Danio rerio: one gene and its partners. The protein of the gene in region 2 interacts with the protein of the main gene of each other region in a pairwise test. Links are inferred from orthologs where the notes say so. Each region holds a gene or a part of one and is shown on either strand. Other genes may lie near its edges. The genes, in order: mxd4, max and mxi1.

What was found.
Region 1: the proteins of max (region 2) and mxd4 interact in a two-hybrid assay, tested with the Homo sapiens proteins (2 studies listed by BioGRID). The link is inferred for Danio rerio from reciprocal best matches to the Homo sapiens genes MAX and MXD4.
Region 3: the proteins of max (region 2) and mxi1 interact in binary tests that used the Homo sapiens proteins (3 or more experiments, as listed by UniProt). The link is inferred for Danio rerio from reciprocal best matches to the Homo sapiens genes MAX and MXI1.

What each region holds. Positions count from the first base shown.
Region 1 is NC_133176.1:27,732,773-27,736,427, reverse strand, and holds part of mxd4 (max dimerization protein 4), read right to left. Parts: intron 3,146-3,655; coding exon 3,031-3,145; intron 552-3,030; coding exon of another isoform or gene 515-551; intron 1-514. UniProt on the Homo sapiens protein: Transcriptional repressor. Binds with MAX to form a sequence-specific DNA-binding protein complex which recognizes the core sequence 5'-CAC[GA]TG-3'.
Region 2 is NC_133195.1:31,576,326-31,580,491, reverse strand, and holds the start of max (protein max), read left to right. Parts: upstream 1-1,263; 5' UTR 1,264-1,371; coding exon 1,372-1,407; intron 1,408-1,736; coding exon 1,737-1,763; intron 1,764-4,166. UniProt on the Homo sapiens protein: Transcription regulator. Forms a sequence-specific DNA-binding protein complex with MYC or MAD which recognizes the core sequence 5'-CAC[GA]TG-3'. The MYC:MAX complex is a transcriptional activator, whereas the MAD:MAX complex is a repressor.
Region 3 is NC_133197.1:32,209,726-32,214,078, reverse strand, and holds the start of mxi1 (max-interacting protein 1), read right to left. Parts: upstream 2,888-4,353; 5' UTR 2,817-2,887; coding exon 2,597-2,816; intron 1-2,596. UniProt on the Homo sapiens protein: Transcriptional repressor. MXI1 binds with MAX to form a sequence-specific DNA-binding protein complex which recognizes the core sequence 5'-CAC[GA]TG-3'. MXI1 thus antagonizes MYC transcriptional activity by competing for MAX.

The DNA of each region.
Region 1 (3,655 bases), on a different chromosome or scaffold from region 2:
ACAGAGCACAGAGACGCCACACTGTATGACATGTACCATCTATCAGTCGACTAGAGCATGCACGGTGCCATAAATTCACTATTTCTCGGAGCTAAAAATGAAACAAACATATTTATATAAAGACAGATCTATATTGCACGACAGGAAATCAGGCAGATTGAGCAAAAATACTGCGCAGCAAACAGGAAAGAAGAAAAAGGGTCAACAGACACATGGCACTGGGTTGCCATTGTCTACACAATGACAGTTGTTGAACCACTTCCATTCACTAGACATTAGTGATATAGAAAGGGACAAGGAAAATATGTAGCTATTAAAAGAGTAGTCTGTGTATTTTTGAAACATTTATGTCATTTTCAAGAAAAGTTTCAAATTGAAAGCTCAACTGTGCAGTGTGTTATACACATTAAGCAAAAAAGTGATAACAGTTTCTTATACTAAATGAGATTGTATAACATTAAACAACAACAACAAAATATCATGGTTTAAGGGTTTAGTGTTATTAAATACTCACCCTCACGTTGTTCTAAAACCCTGAGACCTGTGTTCATCTTCAGAATACAAATGAAGAGATTTTAGAATAAAACCAGAAAAACACAAAATGACATCCTCAACACTGACCATATGACTAGTGGTTTATTCAGAATATTGTCAAGCTAGTATAGACCTTTTTCTTGGCTGCTGCTTGGAAAGCGCCATAGCGACCAGCGTCTACCGGTAGAATGGTCAGAACTTCCGTTTACAGCGTTTACAATAGAAAAAAATGGATTTCAATAGTGTTTTTAATAGATTACAGAGTGTTTTTGTGACACTACACTTAGAAATGTGTCCGTTAAAGACGATTTAATCTGTCAGATGTGGTTCAAGCACATCAAAAATATGAGAAAAACATTCTCCTAGTTCACGTGTCACATGCATAAGCTGCCGACCGGAGTTCTTAGCAATTCTCCCTGCGCATACACGCAAAGCATAAAGGGTAATTTTTCATTCCAAGCAAAAGGTCTATAAGATGAGTGTTCAGAAGAGTGCTGTGCTTTTTATGAATTCTGCTTTCATGTTGCACTGCTGAGGTACACCAAACCTCAATTTCAAACATTGGAAGTCACACAAAGGCATTCAGAGTGTTTGTTTGTATTTAACAAAAATAAATTTGCAAGGCAAGAATTTGTACACTGCAGTTATATTTTGAAAATTTTTTACAATTAGTTTTTAAGTAATAACTGACTACAATAACTTTTTGACAGAATTAAAATGGCTTCATAGCTAAAGTGGCATCCATGACCCTTGCTTGTTAATGTGCGTCCTATAGACCATTTTAATGTGGTGAGTTCATTGGCCCATAAACAATTTCCTTCTTGTTGTCAAACTATTTCATATCTGTAAAAAGAGGCAATTCAATCCTAACTTGAAGCTATAACAGCTATTGTAACATTATTTATCAATACATGGAACTTTTTGGACTCTAAGAAGCTATGGAAATGTAAAATGTAAAACAGAAAACACGTCTGGACTATTGTTATTGTTTATATCCCTCAAAATGGTCTATACTGACACTAAAGAGAAAAAAAGGTTGTATAAAGTTGTTTTCTTATTTTATGTGCACACAAAAGTATTCTCGTAGCTTGACAATATTCCAACTGAACCACTGAATGCATGTGGTCTATTTATGTAATGTTTTTTCTTCCTATTTTCCTGGACCTTGAACGAGATCGGACTATTGCTGTCTATAAAGAAAAATATCTTAGTTTGTGTTCCAAAGACGAACGAAGATCTCAGAGGTTTGAAACAACATGAGGTTAATATCTTATAGAATAACATATATTTTTATGGGCGATGCGGTGGTGCAATGGGTAGCGCTGTCGCCTGATATCAAGAAGGTAGCTCGTTTGAGCCACGGCTGGATCAGTTGGCATTTCTGTGTGGAGTTTGCATGTTCTCCCTGTGTTTGCGTGGCTTTCCTCCGAAAAGTCCAAAGACATGCGGTGTAGGTGAATTGTCTGTAGTGTATGTGTGTGAATTAGAGTGTATGGGTGTTTTCAAGTGATGAGTTGGAACTGGAAAGGCATCTGCTGCATAAAAAAACATGTGCTGGATAAGTTGGCAGTTCGTTCTGCTGTGGCAACCCCATATTAACAAAGGGACTAAGCTGAAAAATAAAATTAATTAATGAACATATTTTCATTTTTGGGTGAACTAACCCTTTAACCTGTCTCATCATAAAACTCATTATGTATGTTGGTTGTGATTCATTCATTCATTCATTTTCTTTTCATATTAGTCCCTTTATTTATCTGGTGTTGCCACAGCGGAATGAAACCCAAACATATCCAGCACGTTTATACGCAGCGGATGCCCTTTCAGCCAAAACCCATCTCTGGGAAACACACACACACTCATTCACAGTCAAACACTAGGGACAATTTAGCCTACCCAATTCACCTGTACCACATGTCTTTGGACTGTGGGGGAAACTGGAGCACCCGGAGGAAACCCACCCAAACGCAGGGAGAACATGCAAACTCCACACAGAAATGCCAACTGACCCAGCCGAGGCTCAAACCAGCAACCTTCTTGCTGTGAGGCGACAGCACTACCTACTGTGCCACTGCTTCGCCCTGTTGGTTGTGATCACACTACTAAACTATGATTTAGTAGGGTTTTTTCTTTAATGATAACTGAACATTTGCAACACTCTGACATTTTGTACTTCATACAACTCAAAAATCAATATTAACCTTAAATAAAAAACTGCACACACAGGATGCACTGATTCTCTGAACTGAATTGTCAGATGCATCACACACTTAGATGACACTTTTTTTGTTCATAATTTTTTTAAGCACAGCTAAAGTATCACCATCCATCTTCACCATGTCAGGAACTGTGAGGTATCTGATTTGCAACATGGAGAGTGGCATAAATTTCCTGTGGACAGTTTCTGATTAACTTCCCTTCTGACTGGAACTGCTCAAGCCTCTTTACTGCTGTGCAAACAGATATTGTGCAAAGAAATGCTGATTTGGTTTGTACCTTGATGTGCATTTTGGCACGTTTGAGCAGGCTCAGTGTGGTGTGACGGGTGCTATCAGGACCCAAAGGCACAAGCTGTTTCAACTGCTCCAGGTACAATCGCAGTTTGGCACGTCTGCAAGAAACAAAGAAGAGGGTGGAGGGGAGAATTAGACGAGGACAAATTTGAAACCAAAGAGAATGATTTAGGATCATGCTGTTGGTTGTTAACATTGAGGTTGTGGGTTTGAAATCATGCAACCATAACTTAGAAACTACATTAAATGGACTGTGATTGCAGCTTTATATGAGAACTGTTTGTGTGATTATCTGACTCAACTCCTTATTTATGAACACTTTAGGTAACATTTCTCATTGAGATGTTGGCTGTTTACTTATAGAGAGAGAATATATTCTGCATGATCTAATTCTACATCCCTAATCCTGCCTACTGTAAAAACGAAATACCGAAAAATACTACTTCAATAAATATAAGATGTTGCAAATCAAGGAATAATTGAGGCAAAAGTCATAGTTAATAGTTTGCTAACAGCACACATTCTACCTTAAAATAAAGTGTGGCTCTTTTTAAATGAACTAAAGATTAACAATACTTGTAAAATATTTATTAATCATAATTCAATAG
Region 2 (4,166 bases):
TGGTGTATCAAAAAGTGTTTATGATCCATCCGACAAGCGAATCCAGCTAAAAATAGTGCTAAACATAATAATTAAATAGAAAATAAGGCGATAACTGCAAAAAGGTCCACATTTTGAGAAAAAAACAACCACCTCTTTCATCAGGCTGCTATGGGCCTGCTATTAAAGAATCAGGATCAGTTTTATTTTGAAATGCATTATATAGTTTTCTATGTTATAGTTTTCTTCTGAAATGATCTGCTGTATTTGATCTAGATAATTGATTAAAATTACAAAACTAAATACTTTTCCCTTATAATTTAAAGTTGAAACAACTGTCTATATAAAGATTTATTTTTGCCCGATCACAGTCATAACAACAGCAGTTGTTTGTTAAAGGGTTTTAAATTATTAATATTAAAGTATTTTCAGTAATCTCTGATCACACTATTGATAACAGTATAAAGTAGGCCCACTACTAATGAATCAAAATTGTGTTTTCTAAGACACAGCTTTATACTGTTATGAATAACACCATTATTAGAGAATCAGGATCAGTTCTGTTTTAAAATGAGATATGTTACATTAAATTTGTCATGACAACAAGTTTTCCTCTGAAATATTTTGTAGCTACAGAATTATTATTATGCTTTAATACAGCTGTGATAAAACCACCACATCCATAATAATCAAAATAGCCAAAACAACATTGTTTTTATTCTCCGGGTTTTTTTTATATAATTGTTATTAATAAAGTATTAGCAGAAACTGACATCCAAACCGTGCTGTTTTTGTTTGTTTATTTCTGTCATTTTAAACTGTCATCAAGTTCACATTTAAAGTAGGTCGTTAGAGTAACCATGTTTCTGTGTTTTTATAGCTCTGATAAGAGTACTAAAACAAGAATATTACCAATGGTCTAAATATTTTTATAGTTTGCAATTACTCACAAATATGCACAGTATTAGTGACCCACGTATTAGTCACAAACAACGCTGAGCAATCTCCACGTGTCTTGCTGGTTCCGAGACATGTAAATGAACTACAATTACCACCTCCCATTGCCACCATAAGGGCTTTCCTTCAACCCCATGTAGAGACTCCGCCCAGAAAAGCTGTCTGGGTGTTGTAGTCCTACACAATAGTTCCGTGGTTACATCCACCGACTGCGTAACTTAAACAAACGACAAGTCCCACGATGCTCTGCGGCGCAATCACAGACGTGACACGCCACGGTAAATGTCCGTGTGTAGGCGAGTCACGTGTGGGGAGTCCGTTGATCTCGTTTCGTGTAAGCAGTGAATCTCTCCTGTTTGTTCATTTGATTTGGGCCCCGTTTCATGTTGTTTTCAAAACAACATTTCGTGTAGATTTATCTATCTTCGCCGAAGAATGAGCGACAACGATGATATCGAGGTCGACAGTGATGTGAGTATAGTTATTTTTGTTTGTACTCTGCATGTTTGAAAATGAAACCTCTTGTATTTTCGATACTTGAGCCTCAATACGGGGCTAGCCTGCTAGCTAGTTAGCCAGCCAACCTAGCGTTTGAAATAATTTCCCAGCCAGTTTATTGAGAATATCCAGCCAGATAAGCGATTAAACACGGGGGTCGAGTCTATACTCGTCTCCGTATGTGTACATTTGCGATTATGTGTAAGTTACTAAAACAGTGTATTGCATCCATCAAATAGCCAGTTAAGTATCACTCTTACAGCTGTAGCTACAATTGTACTTTCTGTTCTGTTTTCTTACAGGAAGATTCACCGAGATTTCACGGTGTGGTGCGTAATAAGCGGAGCAATTAATCCAGTTTAGCCTTTAATGCTGAAAATATCTTCTCTTTTTGAGATTAGCTACCATATATTTCCGGGTAGGTACTGAACGCCGACTGATTTGCATCGGTGGAAGACAAAACAATATAGGATGATGCCTTAAAAGGGGGCATGGATGTGTTGGATTCGATGAGCACCGGGGTCTGCTTGTTTTGGGTGGTTCGGGGAGCTCTGTGCTCGACAGCAGGGCACTTGCTGCAGGAGGGAGGGAGGGACGTTGGCTGAGCGAGAGCCGCAGCCACACTGCGAGTGCGCGACGCGATAGCCCAAAAGCTCGCGTCGCAGAAAGCCAGCAGCGAGATCTCTGTATCCGAGCATTCTGCTGTGTCGTGACGCTCGCAGTGTGTGTGTGGCGCAGTAGTTAGACGATGGAAATATACGACGGCAGGGTTATCATTTGAAATCTATGGCTTTAACATCAATGGTGTCTTGTTTTTGTTAGATCAGACCGTATATGAATAAATAAGCAACATTAAATATTAATACTGAACCTATGGAACATCCCCCTTGCCGATTTCCAAAGACATTTTGTACATTGTTTATACTAAATTGTCAATGTACGGATAAATTATTTTAAAATGATAGTAATACACATATCTTTGTTATATTAAAAAAAGGGTTTAATGGGGATTCTGTGACTCTTATTTTTCTAAATTAGAGAAATCTTAAATTCGTAATGGCATTGGCATTAATGTTGAATGTGCTTAAACATGTAATATCTAAACAAGCAAAAATGAATACATTTAATTTACTTTTGCAATAAATTGAACAAGTCAGGTTATGCTTAAAACAACAACAACAAATATCTGTCAACAGGGAACGAAAATTGATGAGTTGATTTTTTGAGCTCAATAAGCTCAAATGTTTGCTGTTTTAATCATAAGCTCACTTCATTTTGATCCATTTCAGGAATTTATATCATGTCATTTTGTTTCTTAAGTAAATATCTTAGTTTAAAGATCTTTCCATATTTTATCTGCAAAACAAGACGACAATACTGAGGATAAACTAAACTTTTAACAGTGTGATGAGAACATATATTTTCTGGTTAGTGGAAATCTAGTTATACTATTTGTTTTGTAAAATGATTAAGTTGTATTTTCAAATTGTGTTCACTGTCAATTTAGAGAAAATGTTGAGTTGACTTATGTGACCCTGCTACACTAACCCAGTCTTATGTTGCATGTCAATATCATTATATGGGTACATGATAAATGTACATTATCAATATTTATTTTATGCTACAATTCATTACAATATTGAGTTATTTAGTAAATATACCATAAGCAAAACTAAATTTTTGATAAGTACTGTGCGTTAAACTTGAAACTCAGCTTTTTTTTTAACCCCCAGATTACAGATGTTTAAATTGCTGTATGTTGGGCAAGTATTGTCACGGACACCTCATTAGTTCAGCTTTCAGATAATGCACGAATCTTAATTCCCAAAAACGGAGACATGTCACTGGTTTTGTGCTACAGGGTCACATATTGTCTTTTTATAATTAGATTTTTTATTTAGTCAAAGTATTAAAATGACCTTCATAAACCTGCAGAAAGATTGTGGTAAAAGTTTGGAACAAATGGAGTTCACGATGCAGTATTAATTCTTTTAATGGGTTTTTAATTACAAAAATTTCCAGTCTGATCAGTGACTTTTGAGAGAAGTTGGTTTGTCATGCTTTCCTTACATTACTCATGCATTTGCAATAGCCTTTAAAAAACAACACAAACAACAGCAAAGAAAACTAGGAACATTTCTTATGATATCTTATAATCCAGATACAAATTAAGTGCAATAATCTTTAGATTTTGTAATTAAAATTAAAGAGAAGCATTTGGTGTAGAACCTTGTCGTTTCCTATCCAAAAAAACTGATAATTGCAAATTTTAAATGAGCTTGACAGATGAAACTGTCTCTGAAATACTGGGCACAGCATAAAATGGTGTGTTAAATTGAGCAATTTGACCATCAAAAGGTCATAGGTCTTTTGTTTTGTATTTATTTTTACAATACATCAGCGTTGCTTTCAGGAAATTAGATTTAGGTTTCATTTTCTGGAATAGTACCACAGTCAGTTTTCTACTAAAATGTTTATGTTCTGTCAGTGTGGTGAGAAATCGAGCCCCGCCCCTGCAATCGAGTTTGCATAGGACCCTAATGGATCGTCTACGTTGAATGCCTGATGAAAAGTACTTTCTATAAACTATTCTCAGTCTTGAGATTTTAACAAGACTAATCATATTAGTAACATTATTATCGGTAACTCCAAGTTAAAGTATTTAATGATGTCTTTTTGATATCTTTATGTATTTATATGTAACATTATATATTTACATTAGAAGTGGTAGC
Region 3 (4,353 bases), on a different chromosome or scaffold from region 2:
AGACTTCGCGCGGAGGGTTGTGGGAAATGTAGTTCTTCATCCAACAGGCCCTTTAACTCGAACTGGGCTACTGCCAACATGTTTTTAAAATGTGTATATATCATTTTGAAAATTAATATTTTGATCCAATTCTCAGTGAATATAGGCAATGTATTGTGGTGCATTTAAACAAAACAGATTTATTAGACAAATATATTTTTGAAAATAATATTTTAGTCACCAAACATTTAGAAATTGAAACATAATACAATTAAATTCAAGCTAAATATCGCCAAAATCATTACAACCTACAAAATTTCAACAAAATAGTAATATTTTTTTTGCATCAGTTGATTTTTTTCCTCTTTTTTAAATATGTATTTAAATTTTTCTATAACATATACATTTGGCTGTACTAGTTTTTGGACGGTTAAGGCAAGTTGCTCTAGGTTTGGCTTCAGTACTGACTAGTCTAATGTCTAGAGACTTGTGAGAGGTGTACTTATATGTGCTGAGCCCTTTATATAATTGTTATATTTATGTTATATTAAGTAATGTACTATAAAATATATTTTAAACAGTATGCATTTAACTCTAAAAATGTAAATTCTCTGTATATAGGTAAATATTATACTTTATATTTGGTTATTGATTATTAATAATACTGGATACATTTATATACACATTAACTAAAGTACTCAGTGAATATCTGGCATCTCTAGCAAGTGAGACTAAAACATGCCAGAAAAAAACATGCTAATTTTACATGCTGTCATAAGTATTACTATTATATTGTTATAAAACGTGGTATTTTATTTAAATCATAATCCTGCAATCTACTTTATACAAAACAATGTTGTAATGAGTTTAAAAAATGTCATGTCTTTTACTTAATTATAAACTTAACGTATCAGAATCAGAAAGAGCTTTATTGCCAGCAGGGGTCTAGCAAGCACGGGGACAGGGACTTTTCAGTCTCTCATACTTTTAGAGTCGGACCATTTAGAAACAGGTGAGTAAGATAAACGTAAACTTTTAAATCTCATTTAGCTGCCCCCCTCACTTTTAAAATGTCCGCTATGCCCCTGATTGCGAGGTATGATCACAAATACAAAGGTACACATCACACATACAACAGTGCAACACAATCAGAGACAAAACAAAAAACAGATAATGAATATATTTTAAAAACAGAAGTAAAAAGTGAATACAAATATAGAAATTGAATAGTGTATGTATGGGTATAAACCTACATATAACATATGCAGGTGTTATGTGCAAATTGGCATGTAAAGTATGTTGTAAATAAATACATGTGTATAAAAAGTAGTGATGTTTGTTTCACAATACTATCGTAACATTTTCACCTGTTCATCTGTGTAATATGTGTGTAATAAAAGTTTATTGTTGCTCTTTTTTTATTTGAATAATATTTTCAGATTTGGCTACAACGCACTTCAACTCCCACAACCCCTCACTGCCAGCGCTGTTTAAGCCAGGCCCAGCAACATATGACATCACAGCCCAACAGCTCTGCGATTGGACAGGAGCCCTGGTAAGCCTCCACCAACGCAACTGGCACTGAGCAATCAGAGCAGTGAAAACTGCGCCATGTGGATGTCATGTGAACACACCCCCCTAGGAAACAGGAAGGCAATTTTGGAGAACTCTTTTGAAGTAGATTATGCTGTCTGCATGAACAATTTTTAGATCCACACGATATGATTATGCGTTTATTTAAATACGAAGCGAATAATACAGCGAATATATCTGACAGAAAAAAACATGAATATAATCTGCTGATCCCTAATATTAATATGCACTTTATATTATTAGTATTATCATTTTAATATTTATTATATTCAGAGGAGGCAAAATGTATATCGTGTAAATTTTCCAAAACAAATGTTCACACAAAACAACTTCATATATTAACAAATGAGTTTATTAGTACCATAAGCGCTTTATTGTACTCAGTCTTCATGTTTTGGTGCGTGATGAAAAGTTAAAGGGGAAAAAGCTGCGAGGTGACGTCATCCTGTGCGTTGTGCCAGCAAATGTTGCTTATTTAATTATTTATTTTCTTGTTTATGTTCCTCGAGAGAAAGAGGTGGCAAACGAGCTGGCATGCTCCACTGGCGAACAATGCCAGACTCTGAAATGCCCCATACGACAGTACATGCCAGCTTGGGACAGTCCGCCAGCGAATTGGGACGTTAAGTGCGCTGCAGAGGGAATTATTCATCTGTTTTTGACACACGAAGTGGAAAACAGCCACGCAGATTTGACATTAAATCAGTTTTTTGCAGTTATAAAACAGATCTGAAATAAATCCAATGAGTATGCACTGGATGATTGTGTGCGGCTATCTATATTAAATAAAAATATATAAAATATTAAATAAATTCAATTTAGCTATAATAAACTTCTTCATTTAAAAGCATTGAGGCTGTGAATCTCAAATTGAGGCACATTGCACATGCTCCTTGTCTACTTGGCTGATTGTTCGTTGAACTCAATCCTTTGTTGTCTGAGTCTATTGACAATGAAACAGTTTCTCTGCATTACGCAAATGAGTCAGAACAATCCCTCACAAGTGCACTATAATTTCACTTACTTCCATCCTTCCTCTCGGCGCTCTCAATGTAACTGGCAGCCTCCAGTAAAACTTGTACGTTTTTCAGGAAAGTGTTTATCATGGAAGAGTCTGTGGAGTTGAAGACGTCATTGAAAGGACAAGTAGACATCTCAAAATCTTGCTGATCTAAAGAGGTCTCGGACTCCAGGAACAAGTCTTCGGCCTTCACTTCTGTCTGCTGCCTCTCGCTCCTCACCATTTCGTCCCCGTGCAGTGAATATGGTTGGAAATGAAACTGTTGTGTGAGTTATTGTGCTGTGCTGCGCTCAGTGGATCTACTGAATAAATGAGGGGAATGTAATGGATGAGGAGATAAAAACACTTCGGCGTCCCCGGGTCCTAGTGTCCGCCCTCCGCGCACTCCTGTCACGTCTACAATGCTCCCCCAGAGGGTGACGTCATTAAACCCCCGGCCCGCGCGCACCCCAATACGATATAACAGCGAACAACAAAAACAAAGCTGAAATAGAAACCATCGATGTCTTTACATGAAGTAATGCAGGAACTTACTTGTAAACAACTTATTATACATGTTGTGAATTGGCCTACTAGGCTACTTGCCTAAATATTTAAACAGTTTAATTAATAAAAACTTTCACACAACAAACGACAAGCAACAGCCGGAAGTCATTCATTTCAAATGGAGAGCAGTCCACAGTCCGGGAGCTGCGTTGAGTTCCGATCATCTCCGTATGTGGAAAATTCCGATCCGAATTGAGTCGCAGATCCGTTGAAAAATTTGAACTCCTGCGACTAGACCGTATGCGACCTGCCGACCGGATATGATGTATTCCAGTGTTGTCCAAGCAGATCCGTGTATGCGAGATGAGAAAAGGAGTTTATTTGGTTATTTTTTGAATTATAAAAAGTCTATATTAAAAAAACTTTTCTGTTCATAAATGTAAGTTAGAAAGTAATAAAAATAAATATTTTTAATGTTCTCTCCACATTCCCTTCATATTTTAGCGGTCTATGAGTTTCTAGTATTCATTCATCCATTAAACTATCTAAACGCACAGAGAATAAAGGCTCTTGCTTTTGCCCTCCTTTATTTCGGACACCGTGAGAATCAGTTTCTCCCCCGCGGTGCACGACAACACTGAAAATACTGTGCGGCTGCCACAAGGGGGCGTATTCCAACAGTCGTGTCCAAATGTCGTGTGCAGTGGAAAGGCGGCTTTACAGGACAGTTCTTGAGCATGACAGTAGTTATGTTTCCATCCAAAAATGCGAATTAACATTATGCGCAAAACTGTATTATCGAATAAACGACAGACGAATAAAGCTGAGTTTCCATCCAACGAGTCAAAGCAAACAAAATTATCACTTCCTGGTTAACTGTCAGCAATTATTAACAGTAAAAACTGAATTTGCTGCAGTAGGAGAAGCTGCATGAATCTTTTCTTTATTTAATAAATGACTTGCACTTCAGAAGGCAATCCATGCAGTGAACGCGCGGTGGTGTTTGAAGGCGTGAAGCACAGACACTCTTGATTCTGGTGGTCATTAATAAAATAATAACAATAATACTTGAATGCTAAGGCATTTTAGAATGACCATAACAACATTTCAGATGTTTTACAATGTGCTCAGTCTGCTGGTTTGTCCATTTATACACATTTTCATCATCACATGATCTCTTATCACAAAATTACATGACCTTTATAATGCGCATACTGAAATTCGTGCGGTAACAGTGTTTCCATCGTAGTTAATGCGCATCTTTTCTTATTGAA